Lepisosteus oculatus: one gene and its partners. The protein of the gene in region 2 binds, or shares a complex with, the protein of the main gene of each other region. Links are inferred from orthologs where the notes say so. Each region holds a gene or a part of one and is shown on either strand. Other genes may lie near its edges.

Region 1 (7,896 bases), on a different chromosome or scaffold from region 2:
TTAGTGCATATTATTTCATTGCGTGGAATATGCAGAACACAATTAAGCATAAATACGCACCGTTTCAAAGCAAAACCAATCCACATCCTCTTTTCTTTAGTCCGTTGAGTGAAAATAACCGTCTTACAGTATTGTTTCAGTGCTACTGGATTGGTCTTCAGCCCACTTCGGCTGCAACAGCATTCCACACTTTGAACACAGAGCTCAGAGCTCCTTCCTCCAGGTTTTTCGAATTAAACACAAAAACACAACAAAGCAAATAATCCCTGGTGTAAAATGAGAGTTTAGTGGGCAGTGAATGTGTCAGAAATGAAAGGGTGTGATAAAACACGGAGAATGACCACTTCACTGTGCGCAACATGACACAGACTGAAGAAATATACTGGCTGCAAGATGTTACTTTTAATAAACTGTCAAACAAGAATCATTAAAAGGAGCAAATCTGTTTTGTCCATTAATGTAAAGTAGACAAACCCTCAGACGGGTTAACACTATGCAGCCAGACTGGGCTTCTGTTCAATCCCTGCTTTTTACTTGTTTTTTTTTATTTTATTTCTTGTAACTACCTGTACATCTTCTCAAATGTGAGGTGTTTTGTTTTATTGTGTTCACAGATGAAGTTCACATTCATGAGTTCATCACATGCCCAAAAGGCTTTTCCACCAGGCTGCCTTGGACTTGTTCAGGTAAAGTTGTTCTTTAAAATATTCCAGGGGGTTGAAACGGGTCAGTTATTACAGAACCCTTCAAAGACCATCAACCATCAAAGACCAATCCCACTGCGCATGCTGGTGAAAAACTTAACCGATGTGCAGGAACGAACTAGGGATATTTTAGTAATACAGCCCAGTGTGCAATGGACAACACCATACTGCCACATTAAAAACACATTCGTTAAAATTCCGAAACATTCCAAATTATTCTCTGTATTTACATGGGGAGAAAAGAAAGGAAATCCATTGGTGTCCTAAAACAACAGGAATGATCAGAGGAGTTAATTATGGTACAGTGTGGGCCCTATTTTTTTGTTGTTGCTGTTGAAAGATAAAATCCCAGCTAATGTTAATGAAAGCTGACATGCACATTCAAAGTGATAAACAAGCTTTCTCTGTCTCACACCTAAGCTATCCGTTTCAAACCAAGGAGGGCAGACGCTGGGAGATAAAAATAAAATTTCAAACAGGAAAAGCTCGGCTGAAATAGACAGCTTGCCTGTCTATTTTACCGGTGGTGTTGTCTTATCGTTATAATATATTATGACACACACAGAAGAGAACCACGGCCCCATAAAAACTGTTCTGGCAGATTAAGGTAAATCAAAGGCCTGGAAAAATCATTTCTTTAAGGAGCCAAAAATAAAAACAAGCTAGAAACAGACATTTGCAAAGGCGATTGATGAATCGGGCGAGTTCTGAATTATGTACCCTTTTCAGCACCTTGCTTAAAAGCAGATATACAGCACATGTGCATGTGAGGCCTATTTCTGTGCTCTTTCCAAGATGCAGGTTTTGAAGCACGGACACTTACCTGCATCCATTAGGCCAATAATTAGCTTGATTGGCTCGTTAAGAGCCGGGTTGGACTGAAGACCTCCAGACGTACTGTAGCATGATGGGAACCATACTGGGCCGTGTAAGACGCCTGGTCTAACACCTGTGGGGACTGGAGAGAGCTGTCATGCACTCTCCCGAGCCCTGCAAGGCTACCACGAGCGGACCGCCGCCCGCGCGTGGGTTGAGCGGAGTGACCGCCGACGTCAGGGGCTAACGCCGGGCGCGCTCGCGGCCGTCAGAGGACCGAACCCCTCTGCGCGCCACACGCGCCCTCCTCCGCCAGCGACACCCGGGCTGCGCTTTCCAGCCCATCTCGTCTTTTTTCCCCATTTTTCCTTCTCAGCGGAGCCTTGGTTTTGCTTTTACAGGGAGGAAAGCGCTAGAAATCGTCTTTTTAAAATAATAGTTTAAAGCGTAAACGAGAGCCGTCGTGTTATTGAAACGGCATCTTATCCGAAGGAGGTTGTAACGTATAAAACGCCAAATTACTGTGACAGACTCCTCACTCCTCTTTAAAAACCGACTCGGAAACAGGACAGCTATAAGGTGGTCAGGCTGCTCCCGCTCCTGTAGCTCCAGATTGTCAAAACGGTATGTTGTTCGTGAAGTACCAATATTAATCAAACACTTCCATTTCACATGAACTGATTCATTAAACACAATTCTGCTGCCTTGTTTTAAAGTGGAATGAAAGTCACCCCACCCTATATATATGTAGAAATAAACGCTTTAATTTTTTAGACTTAAATAAGGTCAGCGCAACAACCGAACTGAAGAGAATATCAGCTATCTAATCACAACTACAAGCAGACTCCTGTGAAAAAAAACATTTTCGACGTATTGTTAAATATAACGGTGTGTTTGAAGCGTGTTCAGCGTTTTATCCGTATGAATGGTGATGATGGGGGCAATATTGGAATATCTACTGAAGTTTCCTTCACTCGTTTATGGTTTAGCAAATGACTGGGTTCGTTGCCGTGTGTACATTCAGATTTATTGCCTACATATTACATCTTAATTCTTCTGCAAACAAAAAATAATACCGTTTGCCCTATGTAGTACACCATCATTGAGTGGTTTCTCACTTTAGTTAGATTCAAAGGAGAAAGGCATTCAAAATGCGACACAATTTCATTAGTTTACAGTCTTGGTTTTATATGTTTGTTTTTTTACCTGGAATTTCCTACCATATCGTAAAAAATAAAAAAAGGGTTTATCTTACCTGTGAGCTAGGATTATCAAAAATGTCCATTTGAATCTCCTGTGTAGAAGTAGAAGGCGTCCTGGACATACTACTTTTCTGTACCATTGAATTTTTGTTATTGTATTGTTAATATTCACAGTTTAGTCATTTTTAGCGGGTGGAAATGAACAATTCTTTTTTTTTCTCTCCGATATCCTGCTCAGTGTATCCTCCCGACAGCGACAGACAGCTGTGCGTCGCCTGCTCGCTCGCTCTCCCCGAGCACAGACAATGAGCCCCAGCATCCAGCTGCTGAACCCCTCGGCCCCGCCCACCTCCGGCTCTACCCGCCCCTCTCAGCCTACCTCCGCCAATCACGGCTGGACAAGCTGCACACTGCCGCGCAGCGATTGGCTGCCACAACTATCATGGGTGTTAATAACGCCACACGGGGGGAGGGGGCGTGGCTTTTCTAGTGTGCCCCTCCCCCGACCTCTCCACCTATGAAGGAGCAAATGTCTCTTCTAAGCAGGTGCCCGGGTAGCTGGGTTCACTGTATTTGGGGGAAAAAACTGCAGTTTCAAAAAACATCAATTCGGAAAAAAGAGGGGTACACTCAACAGCTCTCGCAGTCTATTTTACGACTGTAGTAAGGATTTTGAGGAGGCGCCCGTGTATGATTATAAAAGAAGGCTACAGCGACTTGTTTTTTTAATTATATGTGTGACTTTCCCAAAGATGCCGCTGACTGGAAGGTTCCGACGATTGCGAATACAGCATCTTGCCTCTCACTCTCCTGTCTGCCGCCTTTCCTTTTCCTCGTTCTCTGTTGAGTGGGTGGGTGGCGAAAAAAAAAAAAGCAGGCGAAGCTGAGGTTGTGAAAAGACATTTAAAAATAGGTTAAAAAAAAAACAGAAGCCGAGCTTCGAGGGGTGATAAAATTACCCAAGGAGAAGGATGCTGTCGCCGGAGTTTGTTTCTCAGTCTTGGAGCGTGTTTTACCACAGCCCTCACAGTCTGGCAGCACGGAGAGGAAGTTCAGTGTCTTCTAAGGGAGCAGCCGACGGTATCTAATAAGCCCCCTTTACAGACGCTGGAACATTTCACGCCCCGAGGCGGGTGCCTGGGTCTGTCCGACTTGTAGCTGTTATCGTGTTATGAAGTTACTGATACTTGCTAAAATAACGGGTTTGTCAAGTCCGATGAGAGACGGCCGTCTCTATACTCGTTGCTTTTAATTCGAGTTCCGTAACGACCGATGCTTCTCTGGAAAGAGAGGCGACACAGCCGAAGTATAGAAAAACAAGATTCCCCGGCTTTCCTTCTTTAATTTTATAGATTAAATCATTGTCCTTTATTTGAACCGCGTACGTGGGAGGTGTCGGTCCCGGTAGCCCGGCGGGTGAACTTCACCCTGTCAAACAACTTCAAACTTTCCTTTATTAAACAATATACATCCTTATCATTAGTGTTGTCATAGCATGTGACTCTCACTTCCTCCCTTTGTCGGCTGATATTCTGAGAGAATCGTGCACTGGGGGAGTCGTGAGCAATCATTAGCCCCAAAACTAATGTTCTATTTCAACCCGAATTTGATCATGTTCAGTAGCACATTGGAGATGCTTGGGAACTGGACTGTAACTGGACATTACCTGCATCATATCGCAAAAAGACGATACAATATAGCCTCAGGACAGGAAAACCGTTGAGAAGCATTTCAGCCTGACCTGCAGCACAGCCTGGTACCCTTTGCACGGCACTGCTCTGTCCGCATCAACAAAACTAAACCCCGCTAAGCTTTCACTGCACATACAAAAGGAAGCCTTATTTTAAAATAGTCCTGCTCAGTTAGTGAGGAACTGGAGAGACCGGCCGGAGTTAAATGAAAGGCACAAGATTGCTTGTCCCTTGTAAACTGGAATTTCCTATCAAGTGTGAGTTCCTTAGCAACTGCCTAGATAGGTTCAGGGCTGCCTCCGTTTGCTGACAGTATCAAAACTGGAGATTTTTATACCCTGTACATAAATCCCTCCCTCCGCCCCTGATTTCACCGCCTTCCCTCGGCAGTTGTGTAAGATGCACACCAAACGGCAGACGAGAGTCACACGTACTCGTGTAGTCCGTGCCTGCTTTGCGATATTCCACGCTCATTCCACCCCCCACACACACACACTTTTCACTCCTGGCAGCTGATGTCGCTCCCTGCCGCCTGTGGGTTTCAAGAGCTCAGAGGCTGGACGTCGTCGCCCGGTGCGCTGAGTGCTGGACTGTGCTGTACCGACGGGCCCGGCACACACACACACACGCGCGCCCTCCCCGCACCGTGAGCTCGCTGTCACCATAGCAACGCAACCTGCAGAGGCGAGCCAGCCGAGCCCCGCAGCGAGCGTGCGCGCCCGCTGCCGCTACAGGAGTTCGCTCGCTCGCTCGCTCTGCGCGCTCCGGCAGGCGTGCTCCGCTTGACCCCGCCCCCGCCCAACGAACAAAAAATGCAACGGACTCATCTCCAGAAAAGACCACGTAGTCAGATACAGTAGCTGGCCGGTGGGGGCCTGAGGGATGAAGGGAGGGGCTGCATGAGTTTGGAGTAAACGGACACACCATCAATAGCTTCCCCTGGGTGCAAGCGAGCGCCTTACTCCTGTCCTGGAGTCCTTGCACTGGCTTCCTGTCAGGCTTGGCTTGGCACCTCAGTTCGCGTTAGAGTTGTGATCTCACACTCCCCTCCACCTGCGTTCGGCCGACTCTGCTCTCCTGTTTGTCCCCCAAGCCCGTCTGCACTCTGTGGGTGACAGGAGACTCTCCAGTTATGCCCCAAAGCTGGGGAATTCTATCCCTAACTATATCCTCAGCTCTTTCAAATCCAGACTCAAATCCTTCTTCTTTAGAAGAATCTTTACCTAACTGGATCTGTGTCTGCCCCCTTTGCTTTCCTACTGTATTCCAAACCCTTATTGCGTCGAAGCATTCAGTCAAAGTCCAACAGATCACAGAACAGCTCCTACCTTCAGGCAATCAGACTGCTACACAGCCAAGCTGCAGTGACCTTCGGCAACCACCCTGACGATCACTGCTAACTGGTCAGGCTACATGGACATCCAGTTTGAAATCCAGTTAACACTGCATGTTGCACTATTTGGACATGATGTATTGCATACGCCCTGGACATGTAGCAGAGCTATTTAAATTGAGTTTCATTTCATTCTATTTTCATTGCGCTATTATTAGGTAACATTATTTTGTAACTTTTAATTTTGTGATTTTTATTTGTATTTCCCCTTGCAGAAAAGACATTTCATTGGCAGCAACTACTGCTGCACGCTGTACTGTTGTGCTTTTGATAAACAAACTTTGATTGATTGATTCATTGTGCAATTCCGACGTCTCCCCTCATTGTGGGTTTTTTTTCTTACTGTAAAGCGATTTGACAAGCCACTTTTAAAGGCATTATCGAAAATAGATAATTATTATTATTATTATTATTATTATTATTATAACAACCCCAGCAGCTCTTGCAGCTGTGGGTGTGGGGCTCCGGGCCACGATCTTGAAGGACCCACATGCTTCACAAGACCACTTGGAGGTACCGACACGGTGCCGGTTCCGTTTAGGAAAAGACTAATGTGTCAAAGGTTACCGAGAGGAATTCGGCACATCTGGAATTGGTATCTAATTGATTAAAGGATCGAATCCAGAGGTTTCTTGAAATGATAATAATAGTCAACTTCACTGTTTATAGCGGCTTCAGTAGTAGCTTCTCAAAGCGCTTTCCAGTTAAAAGAGAAAAGCTCACGAGGAAAGGAGAGAACAGAATGAGCACAATCGAAAACAAGGGCTTACAATGCAGTAGAGGATGAAAGTACAGACGCCGGCACTAACTGAATAAATGAACTTCTTAAGAAGAAGGATTTGAGTGGGGAATGAATGCGCTCGGGGAAGGTGCTCTTCCGCTATCCTCGAGGACTGAGGTCCGGAGTTTTGGGGCGCCGCAGGAGAGATGAACTTCGAAAGAACCCCGAGAAGCGGCTCCAAGCACGTGGCTGGGTTGCTTTCTCCCATCAGCCTTTGTGTCAAGGGTTTTCTCCATCTTCTATCACTTGGGCCTCAGTCTTCACCCGCGTCCTCCAGTTCCTAACCTCACAGCTGGATCTGAGCGAGGCGGCAGGGGGGGTGTTTCATAAATACTCGAGTCCCTTCCCCTCGTCGTTTTCCCTTTTCGGAACTTAAACTCTGTTTTCGGTGCACTAGCTTACTAACTACGTCAGAATCCAGATAACTACCGCACTAATTCTATCACTCCAATCCGAGCATTTGTTCGGCTTATCTAGTTTTGCTGCCAAGAACTACAAACAATTACGTGAGACCATAATTGAGGCGTGGGGGTATAGCTCAGTGGTAGAGCATTTGACTGCAGATCAAGAGGTCCCCGGTTCAAATCCGGGTGCCCCCTGTGTCCTGATTTTCTACGTACTTCTTTTGTCTCTTTCCCCACCTATTAATACCATGTTGACAACACCAGACCTTGATGAATTATCCTTTTATTGCAACGAGGAAGTGCAAATAATTTGATCACACATAAAACACTGCAGCGAGACGAGATACCTGTACAGGTGACAAACCACTCTAGCACTGTGGGGGTATAGCTCAGGGGTAGAGCATTTGACTGCAGATCAAGAGGTCCCCGGTTCAAATCCGGGTGCCCCCTGTGTCCTGGTTTTCTTTTTTTGCTCATCTGGGTGTCTCTTGTTTCCGACCTATGAAAACCTTGCTGGCAAACTCAGTTTTTAATGAGTTGTCACTTCATGGTCACGAGGTGCTGCAAATGATATGATCCCACCTAAACCACCGTGCAGGCAGGTAGTGGACACCTGTACAGGTGAATTCACACCGACAGGTGACATAATATCCGAGAGCCTGTGGGGGTATAGCTCAGTGGTAGAGCATTTGACTGCAGATCAAGAGGTCCCCGGTTCAAATCCGGGTGCCCCCTCAACAGTTCTTAGTTTTATGTTGTTAAGTATCAATTCGCACTTGACAACGCCAATTGTTTCGTGAGTACTTGCCACATTTCAAGTCAAGAGTTGTAAATAATATGATTTCGGATACAAATCTTAAGGGGAACAGTACCTTTTAGATGAGGCAGAGACCCAAAAAGACGCC
Region 2 (7,652 bases):
ATGTTTGCCTTTTGCCTTAAACTAGACGATTCTCTAGAACTCAGGTCTCTGATTTTTCCAATCTAATTAGTCATTCAAACAATTAACCTAATTATTTCTAAATTGGACCTATACAAATTTTTCATAGAGTGTTTTACAGTTGATTACGCAAGCTATCAATTCTCCAATCACTTTGCTTAAAGGTTACTTATAAAACACTTCCTACCCTGGTTGAAAAGCATTACATTTTTGTAGCTAATACAACAATTACACCAATTATGTAACCGAGAACATGGGTGGGACAAAATCCAGAAGACACTAGACTCTCCAGGTATTGAGTTTGAGACCCCAGCTCTAGAACATCTTAACACTTACTAAAGACATTGAGGTTAAGTGTTAAATAGCATTACAAGTTTAAGCATTGAGACACATAGTTTATCCATCCATTATGAGTAACTGCTTTGTGCTGAGGGCAGGTACAAGGGGCAAGGCTCACACACATGTGAGCAAGTGAGAAAGTTAGAGATAGTAACCTCAATATCATGGCTTTGGATTGTGGGAGAAAACCTGTGTGGACATGGATGGAACATATGAACTCCACACAAAAAGCCCCCCAGGCAACAATGAAGCCAACAAAGAACAAAGAACAAAGATCTGTGAGGCAGCAGGTTTTACCATCACATCACTGTGGTGCTTCAAGCTTACTGTGTTGTATTGCAAGGTGTTTGACTTTGGTGCAGTGCTGTCGTCTGTGGGACTATGACTCAATACCTCTTAAGTCAATTGTGTGGAATTGATTAACCGTCATTTGTAACTTTTCTTATGTTCTCTTGTTGGTGGATGTTTAGACATTTCTACTATTTCAGTCATTATGTAATGGGGAGATGGGTCGTTGTCTTGTGGCATGACTATCGAATCTCTGCGGTGCCACAAGAGGGGCTTTTCTTAAGCAAACTCAGAAGGTCTTGAACTTTCATTTCAATGTAAACTATAGGGAACGATGCTTTGTGAAACTGTGCCATCCAAATTGATGTCTATTGAAGGCATCCTGACATGCACAAATGCGCAGGATGCAGGAGCTCCATGAATCACTTTGAGGCCGACACCTTGATCACGCCTGATTTACAGTTCAAGACACCTTGCCGCTGCAAGGCTTTGGTAGTGGAACCTTGGCCCTCTCCCAAGTTACTCAGTCATTTGGACCACTACAGGTGTCAGTGTTTTCATACTACAGGGGCCGCTCAACTGGTCTCCCTTTCAGCCAGAAGGGGGTGCTGGAATTAAAATTCCCCCTGCCAGCAGAGAGTGGTGTCTGTTTTTAGCCTGTGACGCGAGCCAACAGCTGCAGTGCCCCAGAATATCATTGTGTCGTTTAAATATATATGCATTAAAAAAACACCTAAATTTCTATCATCAGCTTCGATCATTGGGAGCACGTTTCTCCCGTATTTGGCTCCTTGACTAGCTGCCAAGCGCATTATCCCATCTTGGAAAAATGCTGTTTTCAAAAGGCTCTCTCCTCTGATGTTTCTAGAAAATTATTCAGTTTCTGGAAGTGCCTATGGGTTAACCTAACCTTTGACCCAGGGTGAATATAATTGTTTTTTTTTTAAGTTTTGACATTAATCAGTGAACCCAGGAGTAAGAACTAGAATTTTCATCTTTACCAACAAGAAGAAAGGTCTCAAGTCTCGATTCACATTTTAGGAACATTATGCGCCTTCGCTAACATAAGACTCTTGAAGCAGTAAACATGTCCCACTGCCAAACTGAAAACCTCTCAGAACCAAAACTGCTTTCTTAAGCCTGTGCTAACAAATGAATAATCCTTGTGCCTGACTGGTTTTAAACTGCTCACACTTGTAGGTCGTAATGTATCCAGAAATATCTCTGCATCTAGAAATGAGAAGCAACTCCACTGAGAACGCCGGTGTCCTGTCCCATGATTAATCGCGAACTTTCCAAACCAAATTTCGGAAAAAGCTACTTAACAGAAGAATCTTTCTTTTGGTCACAGTTCCAAATCCAGCCATTTAAAGATGGAAAAATATGAACAATTGTCTATGAACTGCACTTGGAATACAGGTATAGACTATGAACTATTCAAAAGCCAGCGTTGTCTCATGTTATTTTTTCTCTTTAATACAAAAGCCCTTTGCTGTAAGATTATTGGGAAGTTGAATCTGCGCAACGCCATATAAACAACTCATGACCATGTGAAGAAACTGATCAACCCTTTTAAATCCAAGGGTGTAGGGCTCCTCATAAACACAGCTAGAGAGAGCCAGCCCTGCTTTCTTTGACTAGCCAAACACAAAGTTTCCCGTTGCATAAATGAAGACATGACAAAGACAGCAGTCCCAACTACCAACAATCTGTAGCTTCCTGCCCTCAGAGTGACTTACTGACTTTTCATTCCGGTTTGAGGGCTGGCCATGCTCTTAGCCGCTGGCCTCTCTTTTGCTCAGCTGGCCCCCGAGCTGGCCGTCCACGCGCCTCGCCGAGCTCGAGCCCCGAAGGATACTTCCACTCCACGATGCTGATGCAGGCTTTGCGGAAGGGGTTCTTCAGGGTCAGGCAGCACAGCGAGCGCGGGGGCCGGGGGTTGCCGCCGGTGGCTTGAAGTTTCTTCAGTTTCTCCTTCTGCTTTCTCCTCAGGGTCTCGCTGTCCATGATGATGGAGGCGGCAGGTCCCACCGCGTTGGACTCCGCCGTAGCCATCCTGGGGGCAGACCAAGAGCCGTGTCCCGACGGTGACGGTGTGTGAGGCGAGGACCCAGTAATCCTTCCCGCTGTAATCCTGGTAAGCCCGGGTTCGCCTGTTCCCCCTCACTCCTTTATTTTTCTCCTTCCTTCCCGGGACCAGCAGGCACACACTCACACACACACCCCCCCTCGCCTCCGCCTGCTCTCCCTCTCACTCTCTCTCGCTCAGCGGAGAGTGGAGTGCCTTTCTGCTGAGCTGGGTTTCTCAGAGGGTAAAACTACACCAGGCAGAAAGCAGCAGGAGGAGCAGTTGCCTCTGCGGCCTGAGCCGGGCCAGCATGGTTTAAATATAGACTGTGAGCGATGTCTCGGCAGTGGGGGGTGGGTGGGGTGGCGATGGGGCAGCGTAAGCAGAGCAGGGAGGCAGAGAGGCGCAGGGGCCGCCGAATAGCCTGTGGGCCCTGAGGCAGCAGAAAAGTAGGAAAAAGAAGTGCAGCTGTCGTCGGCTCATCCCACTTGTAGCTCCGAGCTCTCGGAGCAGAGCCGGGAGGGCGAGGGGGGAGGAAGTGGAGCTGGGGGAAAGGAGAAGGGGAGGCATGCTGAGAGCTGTTAAACAGCAGCAGCGGAGGGGACGGCACGTTTCGATGCCTGTCTTCAGTGACACAGTGCAGATGGTGGGAGTGTTTATAACAGGCCTGTTAGCGAGACAGCAGAGTGGGGTGGCAGGGAGTTTTAGGTGGCACACCGAGAAGCGACGAAGCGTGGAAGCGAGTTTCAGGAGCTTTATTTAAACATTTACTCCTCCTGAGCACAACAAACTGCTGTGCTAATATACGGTTCTGCAAATTTGCCAAAATCGTGTGCTCCATTTCAAGACTCCCAAATCAGCTAATCCAGTTTACAGCTTTTTCAAAGTTGGTCATTTAAACCTTGGTTTTGTGATGAAGTGTTCCAACAAAACTAGACAAAATTAATCTTCAATATAGAATCCGGTAATTATTTTTTAATCTTTAACAATGATAGAGGTATGCATTTATTAAACCTACAACACTGAGAGCTCCTGTGAGGCCTCAACCAGAAGTTTTCTAATGACACTGCCTGGCTGCCATCTGATAATAACCAGAGCCCAAACAAACTACAGATTTCTTAATGATGATAACACTAATTCATGTGGTCACGCTTGTGTTGCTGGTATTCCCTGCAGTGTTGCATTCTGTAACTAACAATGTATTATGCTATTTCAGTCTTATTTCGGAAAGTATAAATGTTGCATAAATCAGAGTTCAGTTTATTTGTCAAATGCATGAAATGCTTTTAAGTGCAATGGAATGCTTATATAAATTCATATAAGCAGAACAGTCATTTAACATCGGTAATATAAAAAAATAAATTTGCAGTTTATGAAACATCAGGGTACTGACTTCACTTACAGTCCTTATGGTCCAGGTGGAATGTGCAGGTGAAGAGTCTCTGACTGTGCAATGGCTCCACCTAGTGGTTCACAGGGATGTGCAAGTGAGGCAGTACTAGAGATACTGCACTAGAGAGGGACAGCTCTAGTTTCTGAGTGCTACATTCTTAGGATTCCTAAAACCACCAGTGGCTGAAGATCTTTGAAAAGTGTTAAACTAATCAGGTACGGCCTATACAAAAGTTCATTGCTCCAGTACTGGAGAGATGCAGTCCAGCAGCAGGAAAAACTGGGGAAAGGTGTTAAATTGCAGAAACAGTTTCCCTCCAGAACTGGGATTGAGTTTATAACTGTGCATCACATAATTAGGTTGTGTAAATCTGACAGATCAAAAACAGTGTGTGTCCAGTAGAACTATATGTATGTACTTATGCATTAGTAGCAAAAAATGCATTAATTGCTGTAGTAATCAAAGAGCTAAACACAGTATATCAAGATGGTAGTCATATTTAAAAGAACTATAATCATGGTGAAGCATCTCTTTGAAAAAAAAAATAAAATAAATGTTCCTTGAAGCACAAACACACAGTTTTCATTTTTACTTTTTATTAGAAAGTTTTCCATCATACATCATTGTTGGGCTAGGGTCTAATGCCTCTTACAAGTTGAAGGGTGCTACACAGAGTCTAGGATAAAGTGCAAAGCAGTATCAGTAAAACTGGTTACAAACTGTCATTTAAAGAACAAACTTTGACACACGGCTCTAGTGGTACAGTGCTGTCAACATGGCAATAAGATCAAGATTGAAAGATGATCACAAACACACACAACACTAATCCTGCTATTTGGTATGAACTGTGTAAGGATGGTCAAACAGGAAAGACCTCAGTGGTTTTGCAGTCACAGATGACCTTGAAACATCAAGGGCAGTTGCTGAGAAGGGGATTCGCACTTTGATTTACAGAAAGTCTCCAAAACCATTTCACTAGCAATAACATCAACCATGAATTAAGGTACCATTCTACCTTACCATTATAGGTATATTTGGAAGTGAATTAAAATCTGAAACTTGTGACTTGGATTACTGTATATCAACTAAGGCTTCAATTATTATCCAATTCGGGTGGGCTGGAATGAAAACCAGGAGATGTGTATGGTCACCAGGACCAGGATTGGGAACAACAGTTATAGATCCACATTCCGCCTTACTATGTCTGTAAAGGCCAGGAAAGGCAAGCACCTTTACATTTCTTTCTGGAAGTCTCTGTTTTGTCCCAGGTTCTGTAAATGTTCCAGCTGAATTACTGTTTACGGTCTATCATCTTATAGACAAACTGTCACATCATAGCATTATAATACATACGTGTTTCTGAGCTTAAACTAGCTCAAAAATTAAAACTCTTTCCTAAGAAAACTAAATTGGGTAATTTCAAGTAAAATTACATTTTTTTTCAGAAACGTATAAGAACACAGTGTCATGTTTTTTACAGCTCAGCAAATACAGTCTGCAGGAAAAGGTTCAATGCAGTTCATTAAAGTAGTTTGGAGACATCATCAAGCACTACAGAAAGGCTGTAAATGGTTTTTAGATTTATGACAGATGTGTGATTTAATTTTTCCCTTCATGTCTTACCTAAACTTACCTTCAGTCATGATCTCTCCACCCCTAAGACACTATGAGCAGTGTTAAAAACTACAGTTGAAATACTTCTGCTTCCTAAAATGTTTTAGCTTTCAATATCGCTCAGGGACTGTTATGAATGGAATGACCAAAAAACCTGTGGCCCACAAAGTCTCTGAAGTCAGCCTTGACTTTTGCAATCCAGTTGTCTGGGGTGCTGTATTAAACTGAAATGTGAGAAGAAATTTGAAACCAGTGATGTCCACAGTCCATGTTGTCTGAACCTCGGGATTACACTGATCTATTGAAATATCGAATGGACGTGCCTTCCATGACTCACATAGATCTTGGAGTGGGTTGTGATGCTCAAGAACTTGATAGCTTCTGGTTCTGTGTGGTGGATGATGCCAGCCTCATTGGGATTTTTAAAATCAGAGTACCCTGACTTTTGTTTTGGTTGTCAATGTGCTGAACCTTTAGTTAGACGATTGACAAGGATAAAGACCTTACCAGAGCTGCTCATTCATTGGTCCAGTGCTCATCCTGGTTTCCACAACGTCATGGACTAGTTAGGACCCACCCACCGAGAAGGGATGCTGGTCTGTTGCAGGGATCAGCCCCAGCAACACTCACCTCTCTAGAACAGCAGGGTGTCATGTGGGGACTCAAACCAACAGCCTGCCACTCATGAGCCCAAAGGTTTCCCCCTTGAGCATGCCACTCCCTGCATCATAGCTGGGGGTTAAAAGGTAGCATGAGCCCCTCCTGTAGAGGTCCTGACCAGCTGGCATTCAAACAGAGTCGACACATCGCTAAGAATGGTTACAATGAGAGAGTGTCATTGCCACTTGTTTCTGTATATCTTTAATTGCTCATCTATCAGGAGTTATTTAGACCACTGTGGTTGAGCAGTAATTCTAAATTGTTGACGTATCACATTTGCCACATTTCATGGAAATAATACACAGAAAGGAGAGTATTTCTCAAATCAAGATGGGCATCAAAAACAGTTAAAATCAAGCGGATGATTGATTTATGTTCAACTACTTTATCTAATTAAGAAATCGGTTGGATCAAAAACCAGGAGTGAGAGGGACACTCCAGGAACAGGATTAGGAAACCCTCATTAATTTGTGGTAGTTTTATCCCTCTGCCCGTGTTATGGCTTGTCGGTCTGCATCCCGCCACAGTCAGAGCTGGTTCGTCTCTAGCAGCTTCAGGCGGGCCTGTTCTCCCCCTACTCCGCCTTCAGGCCTCAAGCCTGCAGTCAGGGCCCGGCCCTCTCTAGCTCAGCGACTCCTCGGACTCGCAGTACGGAGAGTCGGAGGAGGAGGAATTCTGGGATTCCCCGTCGCTGTTGCAGTCCCTCTTGACGCCTGCCTCGGCCGGGGTGGGAGTGGCATTTCTGGGGCCCTTGCCGCTCCTCTCCTCTGCTTCGGCGCCCGCCTGGGCCCCCCGGCTCACCAGATCCTGCAGGTACTTGATGTAGCGGATGGCGGCCCGCAGCGTCTCCACCTTGCTCAGCCGCTTCTCGGACACGGCGCCGGGCAGGTGGTCCCTCAGCCTGGCATAGCCCTCATTGACGCACTTGACGCGCTGCCTCTCGCGCTCGTTGCGCTTCTGGATGAAGGCGGGCTCGAAGGGGCAGTCGTACACCCCGAAGTGTCCGTGGAAAGGCACGTAGGGGAACAAGGCACCCCCGTAGGACGCCTCATAGTAGCTGGGGTCCATGTTGGCCGGGTACAGAAGGAAGGGCACATGAGCAAGAGTGTCTCCGGGTCCAGCAGGGGGGTGGCAGCGGTGGTGGGCGTGGTGGTGGTGCTCTGAGTGTGAGTGACCACCAGGGGGCGCTATGCCATATTGCACACAGCTCCCTGGCATCATGCCGGGTCTGCGCTCCATTAAGGCATGAGAGAAGCTGGCATTCATCTCTGT
Region 3 (7,157 bases), on a different chromosome or scaffold from region 2:
TTATATACAGCATGACATTTTGAAGGGCATCAGAGAAGAGATAACTGTGATTGTGAATGGATGGGTAGATAACCTTTCACACTCCACCTCAACAAATGTGCTCACTGGATTCTGGTCAGCTTTGTATCCCTGTGGTGTGCTGCCATACCTTGGGCAATAGTGCTTTCTATTGAGACTCTCAGTGTCAGCCTGTGGTCTGACTGCAGGTTGGAATTCTAGGAATTCTCATTCCTGGGTCCTTATTTCAGGCAGATGGCCAAGGAATAAGAGGCTGTCTACCCAGAGACATGAGCAGTAAATCTGCTGACTGCAGAAGACCCTTCAGCTACCCAAAAGAGAGAGGGGGGGTGAAATTGTCTATAGGAAAGCTGAAAGAAGGAGGTGGAGAGACGGAGGAAAAGCTCTTCTCCTGAGCTTGCAGAAGGCCCCGGGGGTTGCCTGTATATTCCAGGGTGCCCACATATAGACACAATCACAGGTCAGCACGGAGAGAACATGCACAGTATGGAATCAAGTTGAGGACTCAAGAACTACCAGGCAGCAGTAATTAACAATATACCACTGTGCCACCATAATGTGAAGACAGACAGGTAGTTCTTTGTTTATGTTCCCTTAATTTGCTTGTTTCCAATTTAGTGCTCCTTATAATATATTTCCTCATTTAGAACAGAATAACTCTTACTTTAACATGCTTGGCCACAAAGTCTTAGAGAGTGTATTCTGCGTGTACCCAGTATCGGCCTGTATGCGAAGGAACACATTTTCCCTAACTCACTCTTGCTGTTAGCGTTAAGTTGTGTTAAGGCGCTGTCAGAATCGTCATCCCTCCTCTTAAGGGCGCTCCGACCCTTTCGTATTTTAGTTCATTTCGTGCACCTGCCCCCTGTTTAGCCTGACACTATTTAAGCCTGGCGGTCTCACTAGTCCTGGCTCAGCACTGAGGGATGGATGCCCAGAAGCCCGCCTACCAGCAGCATCCTGACCATCTGAGTCCAGGGCTCAGAGCGCCTGGCCTCGTCACCCTGGTTTTATTCCCTGTTCCTGTTCCGGATCCCATTCCGGATTTTAACCTTGTTTGTCTCGGATGGATCTCCCAGTTCCTGGACTGTGCCCCAGATTCCCCCTTGGACTGTCTGGACTCGTTTGCCCATGCCACGCCCCCCGAGCGCCGGATCACTGTCGTCACGCTCTCCTGTCTGCCAACCCGTCCTAGCCTGCTGTACCTTCCCTGTTGTCCTTCTCCACTTACTTCCGGATTATACCGTCTGCACAGGGTCCTGAACTACGCCTCGCAGGGACGAGGGTTTAGCAAGCGTGCTATAGAAATGCTTGGTAAGGCGAATAACATTTTGATCAGAGCTCGTCCAATAATGTGGAAAAGCTGGCACTTATTTATGACGTTGAATAAATCAAATAAGCTTCCACCCCATTCACTACCCTCCCCTAACAACAGTCTTCACTTCATGTTTCATATGAAATTGATCGACATTAACGAACATTTCTTCCAAATGACTTTTAGTGCAACTCTATAAGCATCTTATATTGAAACATTTGCTTATTTTAGTTATTAAGGGGTTAAAATCTTTGGGTGAGGGTGAACCCCAGAATGCTTCCTCCCTATATACATTCATATTTATGTGAAACTGCTGTGGAATTCATTTTTAATTTACCCATTTCTGAACTGTGCGGCATTTTTCAGGAACGCATTCATTCACATGAATCAAGAACTACCCCTACTGCATTTTAACAGAGATTAAATGGTTCAAGTTGTCATTTGGATTTTTTTTATATTGCATCTCATAAATACAAAATATATATCCCACCAGCATTCCCCAGCTTCTGAATCCAATCTAACTGGGTTTTACCACTGTAATGCATTATGCATTGGGAACCCAGGCTCCAACCACAGTGTGATTACTGTACATAAGTGCTCTGTCTTGTGCACACCTGAGTCGCATATCATTTCAGATTTCATTACTAATCTCAAACAGAAACCTGTAAGTGCAGAAACACTTTGGCATCCCATGTTAAAATCCAAAAGCTCTATTTAAATTGTCACAGGAGTAATTGGGTCAGAAGACTAAGAAAGTAGAGCACAGCTGACAATTTATAAAAAGCACTTCACTACGGAGTGCCCTATGGAGAATATGCTGCAGACCGCGGAAGGCGTGAAGGGCCGCTTGACATTGAGCGAACAGGAAATGTGGAGGACGAAGGACACTGAAAGCAGGTTCGGTTCAGCTCCAGTTGTCCCTCGGAGCAAGAAGACCCTCTGTCTTCTCAGACCCACTCGTCTCTCAACGGCCATGAGTCAAGCCCTGGGGTCCAGAAAGTCAGGGCTCCAAACCCGAGGTGGCCCCCTGACCTCTCCTCACTCTGCAGGGGTCCCTGCGATGTGCTGGGTTAAGCAAGCCTGGGACAGGGTGCAGTCCTTCTTCACACTGGGCCAGGGGGAGCTGTAGGACAGTTTCCACGCACTCGCCACCACATTCCACCACGCTCTCTTCACTGCAATTAACCTGCTATCCCACCACGTCTCCCCTTCTGTTCTTCTTAAACCTTTCTACCTGCCCTCTCCATGCTCACCATTGAGTTCAACCCACCTGAGTTTAACCTTTTGCCGCCTGTTTGTCGCACTACTTTTTGGATAACGGACACTGCCTTCACCACCGACTACGGACCTGCCTCACCGACCGGATTCGGTGTTCGGACTCTGCTCTCTGGATAGCGGATCTCCGCCCTCCTTCCTGACCACAGCACTGCTTTCCGATTTGGACTTCGGTAATGGAACACGCACTCTCTCTCACTCCTGCCTCGCGCAGGGTCCGAATCAGCCCCACTGGTATTTGACACAGGTTCCATTCACCAACAATGGAGATGTCTCTTTAAGGGCTGTCATCTTGGTAGGGGAACCTCCCAGACCCCCAGCACCTCATAGCAGTCCTCTACGATTACAATGTCCACAGTTGTATGCTACTACACAGCAATTCCTAGGGTTTACGGAAAAGTGCTGGAGAGACAACTACTAGGATCAGAGGTTAGGGGCACCGGGATGATTTTGAATTTAACACATTCTAGAAGCCAACTTTCTTTTTTACTTACAATAGCAGTTACACAGACAGTCCTTTATCTAACATACTCACCGTGCGTACCAAAGTGTCTTAAACAGAGGCTCAGACTTTCCTGTTTCCCATTTATTTCTACAGCATGAATAGAAACAGCTCTACGTGATGCTATGCCAGAAACTATTTTATCACTGGTGTGACAAGGGTCACATCTTCCCCTTTCACTCCAATAACAACAAGGATGATATAAGGCCCATAGTTTCCCATCTGTTTATCCGTCAAACGTTAAGTGCCTGTAGATCGGAGATCTGAAATGTTCTGTTTAATGAGAAGCTAATTTATGGTAACAAATACACCTCCTGCATCTCTGAGAGCAATGACAGCACGTTTGCATGTCTGCGAAAACCAACAGCTGTTGTTTAGACACAGATTTCTCTGTATAAATAGTTTATAGTAGCATTTAAACTAAGTGCCTGGTGGGAATAAAGTTTAGATTAGGAATGTTAAGAATACTATGATGATGCAATTGAATAAAAGTTCAGTAAATGGGGACAAATCAAGACTGTGAACACAGACTGCACTCTTCAGAACAAAACAGAGCTTTTCACACATTCAGGTTATCCAAGCTATCCTCATAAAGCTCATCAGAAAATAAAATTCGAATGCAACTAAGAAATGCATTAAAAAACTATTATTCCCTTTGTTCCAAAAATTAAGGAGAGAGATATTGCAAAGTGATTTCAAGGAAGGAGAAAAGAAATTCAGACTCAGTCGTTTTCACTTTGCACTAACACAACAACACCAGGAAAATCGAGGCTTTATATTAACTGTAGAAAACTCAGCAACACACAGCAGAAACCTCAAAAACTATGCCCACACTCTTCTCGGTGATTAATGAAGTACTTGTAGTTTAGCAGACGGCCACAGCCCTGTGCTTAACGGGCATGCTGAGAAAACATAGAGACGAAACCTGATAAGTGGACATCCTGACAACCTGACTCACAGCTCACATTAATAGCAGCAGCTACCCGCCCATCACAGGCAGCCAGTGTGGTCATCAACTTTTCTGATATGCATCAACAGCTGTAGTCTGAACCACACTCCTCCTCACTCCATGAGGAGAGAGAGAGGAAAAGAAAACTAGGGCACTGTTTTCTGGCCACTTTTTTTTTTCCTCCCAACGAGCGACAGGGATTTGGAGTGGGCTGAAGCTGCGAGCAGAGGGGACGTGGGAGTGGAGGCTTAAGGAGAGGTCTGCAGAGTCCACAGGCAGAGCGGCGGAGGTGAGGCTGTGAGGCAAGAAAAAAAAACCCCCGCTCCAGTGAGAACCGACAAGCAGAGCCATGCTGGAGGACAAGACCACCAAGGTGAGGATAGCGTTCTTCGTCATCCTTGTCGGGATCTCCGCCATGTTCGCCGCCGTGACGACGGATCACTGGGCGGTTCTGAGCCCGCGGGTCGAGCGCCTCAACACGACGTGCGAAGCGGCTCACTTCGGACTCTGGAGGCTCTGTAAAAAGACCATCTACATGGAGGAGCCGGACCCTAGGGGCAAGGGCTGCGGGCCCATCAGTCTGCCTGGAGGTAAGACCCTTCCGTCTCTGAGCGCTCTGGGCCCCAGGCCCACCAGGGGTAACACCGAGGTGCGGGGCCGTGTGAAAGGACAGAGAGAGCGAGGGGCTCTAACCCAGCAGGGCTGCAGGGCTGCTCCAGGAGGAAGGCGCTGTTACAGCGTTAGTTTGGCAGGGTTGACAGATAAACATCTGGGCACCGCGCCTCTCCCTGTGGGTGTGCTCCTCGCGCCCCGGTCAGAGCCAGCTCGGGCGCTCAGGACCTGGAAACCTCGCTCACGCAGACAAGCGGGATCACTCACTACACCCGGAGTTCGAATTCAAATTCAAATTCCTCCAAGACCAGCTGCAGTACGTACAGTCACATACACTTTATACATAGAAGAGTTGTGGGTATTGTATATGTACATCTATCCATTAGCTTGTCTGTAGCCCAAAATGGGAAAACACTACGTTATTGAGAATACCGATCGGACGCACAGAATATTCAGATAATCACGGCAATGGCGAAAAACAGTCTTTAAAAATCAGCACTATTAATCCTTTTTAACAAAAAAAATGCTCCACGCACATTTTAATGAAACTAGTGTTCATGATTTAGACAAAACCAACATCCGTACAAACATGATTTATGCAACTTCAGCCTAACAAAAGAGCAGAGGTCTTCCCTGTTCTTCACACGTGTTGTGCTGTAACATCCCAAGAAAAGTCCTGCGATGACAACTCTGTGCCACCAGTCACAGACAAGCCAGCCCACTGGTCTGCTTGTTAGAAACTGAAACAGGCTCTTCTGCTGAAACAGCGTCTTTTTAACACAGACGGTAAGACAACTCACCACTGAGAGATTTCTGATAGAGAAGGAACCTTAATACCAGAAGAGCAGAGATTCATTTGATGCAAATCATAAAGCAACACACAACCCCAGCTCCTTTTCATCATGAACTACAAGAGTAGACATAGAAATGTTTTGCCTGAAAGATTTATTTGCAAAAGAAAAAAGAAAATGAGGCTCTTCATTGTCACAAGGGCCCCTTTAAATGCACAATTTATGTGCAGTGAACTGAAGCAAGTAATTGTCTGTGTCGGTATGTGTGTTATATGTTTGCAAAACAAGATGGCATGGTACCATGGAAGACAGAGCTCTTAAAAAGGAGCCTGTTTGTATATTTGGCTGACCTGGCTTCCAATATCTGGGTGAGATAGGAGCTGGGAGAGGTCTCTGTTTGCCTAAAAACACTATTTACAGTCACAGAGCAATAGGTCTCACTTTGCACACTTTTGTAGTAGTGCATCAAAAAAAGAATTATTGCATGAGCAATGGTAAATGTGCACCATTAACCCATCCGATTTGATTGGCAAACAATTGTCTAATAGCTTTTAAGAAAGAAAGAATGGCATTTGCTTTTCTCTCTTCTTCCCTAAGACTTAAGTCTATGGCGTTAAATGCCCCCTGGTTGAAAAAGACATGTCTTCATAAAGCAGGGTCTGTTAAAAAAGAGAAATGTGGCCTCAGTTTTTTTTTTTCATGAAGTGAAGCATTTAACCGCAGCACATATTTGGGAAAAGCTCTCTTCTGCCTCCAGCACTTACAGCACCTAGAGAAAAGCCCCCAAACCCAAGGTGGAAAGAAGAGGATCATAAGTGAATATTCAGTGAACTGTGAATATTGTGTCATTCAAAAAATGTTTAAAGATCAACCCTATGTTTCACTGTGTCTCACCTGGGCTGTTTCAAGTAAAGTTGCATTTTTTTTCTTTGAATTACTCGCATCCAGTACCTCAGCTACAACTCCACTGCAATTGCTTCCCGTTTCCCTGCTTGATAGGGCTGAGGGCTCTTCCTACAGCCGCCGCAGTGTGCCGAATCTGCAGCCGGCCAGCCCTCCCTCAGCGCAGAGCTCCCTCGCTGTGCGTTGAAAAAATGAAGTTAAAGGACATTACACGCACGAGTCTTGTGAGAGATCTGCACACAGAATCCCCTCACAAGTGGAACAGCCAAGGGCTGTGCAGAACAGCTCTGAACTCGTCGCCGCAGAGACAGAAAACCACAGACCCTCATGCTTCTGAGCGTTTCAAAGGCATCCTGCAGGTTCACAATGTGATTTTTCACAGCTTTCTAGCAAAACGGAGACTTCTGCCGTTACATGTTGTTACTAGTCCAATCCTTATCAAGCTATCCCAGTTTTGTGACCTGCTTTGCAACACATAAAAAACATAACGAAAGTCATTCAGCCCTTTTAGTTTGTTTTGGAGTGAGGACAACCTCTCTTTCTAGTGCCCTGCTTTGCCTGCTCCTTCGGTTTTTAATTTGCTTTCCGCAGTCTCCCTTCCTTTCATCGTACTCTGCCACTGGATTGTCTTTGGAGGGTTGAGAGTCTTCACTTTTCCGTTAGCGGCCTGGGGCAGCGCAGTGTGTCGGCTTGCTTAAGCTCGTTCAATGAAACAGACGCAGGGAGAAGCAGCGAGTAGAGACCGAAGAAAATGACAGTGGAACTGATTCAAAAAACCGCCCAATTTAATAA

What was found. The genes of interacting proteins can lie anywhere in the genome.
Region 1: voltage-dependent L-type calcium channel subunit alpha-1S (region 2) and cacnb1 share a complex: the UniProt entries of both Homo sapiens proteins name them as parts of the calcium channel complex. The link is inferred for Lepisosteus oculatus from reciprocal best matches to the Homo sapiens genes CACNA1S and CACNB1.
Region 3: voltage-dependent L-type calcium channel subunit alpha-1S (region 2) and cacng1b share a complex: the UniProt entries of both Homo sapiens proteins name them as parts of the calcium channel complex. The link is inferred for Lepisosteus oculatus from reciprocal best matches to the Homo sapiens genes CACNA1S and CACNG1.

What each region holds. Positions count from the first base shown.
Region 1 is NC_090723.1:5,996,355-6,004,250, reverse strand, and holds the start of cacnb1 (voltage-dependent L-type calcium channel subunit beta-1), read right to left. Parts: upstream 3,006-7,896; 5' UTR 2,863-3,005; coding exon 2,776-2,862; intron 1-2,775. UniProt on the Homo sapiens protein: Regulatory subunit of L-type calcium channels. Regulates the activity of L-type calcium channels that contain CACNA1A as pore-forming subunit.
Region 2 is NC_090700.1:36,990,439-36,998,090, forward strand, and holds the start of voltage-dependent L-type calcium channel subunit alpha-1S, read right to left. Parts: upstream 3,001-7,652; 5' UTR 2,701-3,000; coding exon 2,504-2,700; intron 1-2,503. Other genes in the region: achaete-scute homolog 5, read right to left, coding at 7,002-7,646. UniProt on the Homo sapiens protein: Pore-forming, alpha-1S subunit of the voltage-gated calcium channel that gives rise to L-type calcium currents in skeletal muscle.
Region 3 is NC_090704.1:45,909,781-45,916,937, reverse strand, and holds the start of cacng1b (voltage-dependent calcium channel gamma-1 subunit), read left to right. Parts: upstream 1-4,152; 5' UTR 4,153-4,408; coding exon 4,409-4,649; intron 4,650-7,157. UniProt on the Homo sapiens protein: Regulatory subunit of the voltage-gated calcium channel that gives rise to L-type calcium currents in skeletal muscle. Regulates channel inactivation kinetics.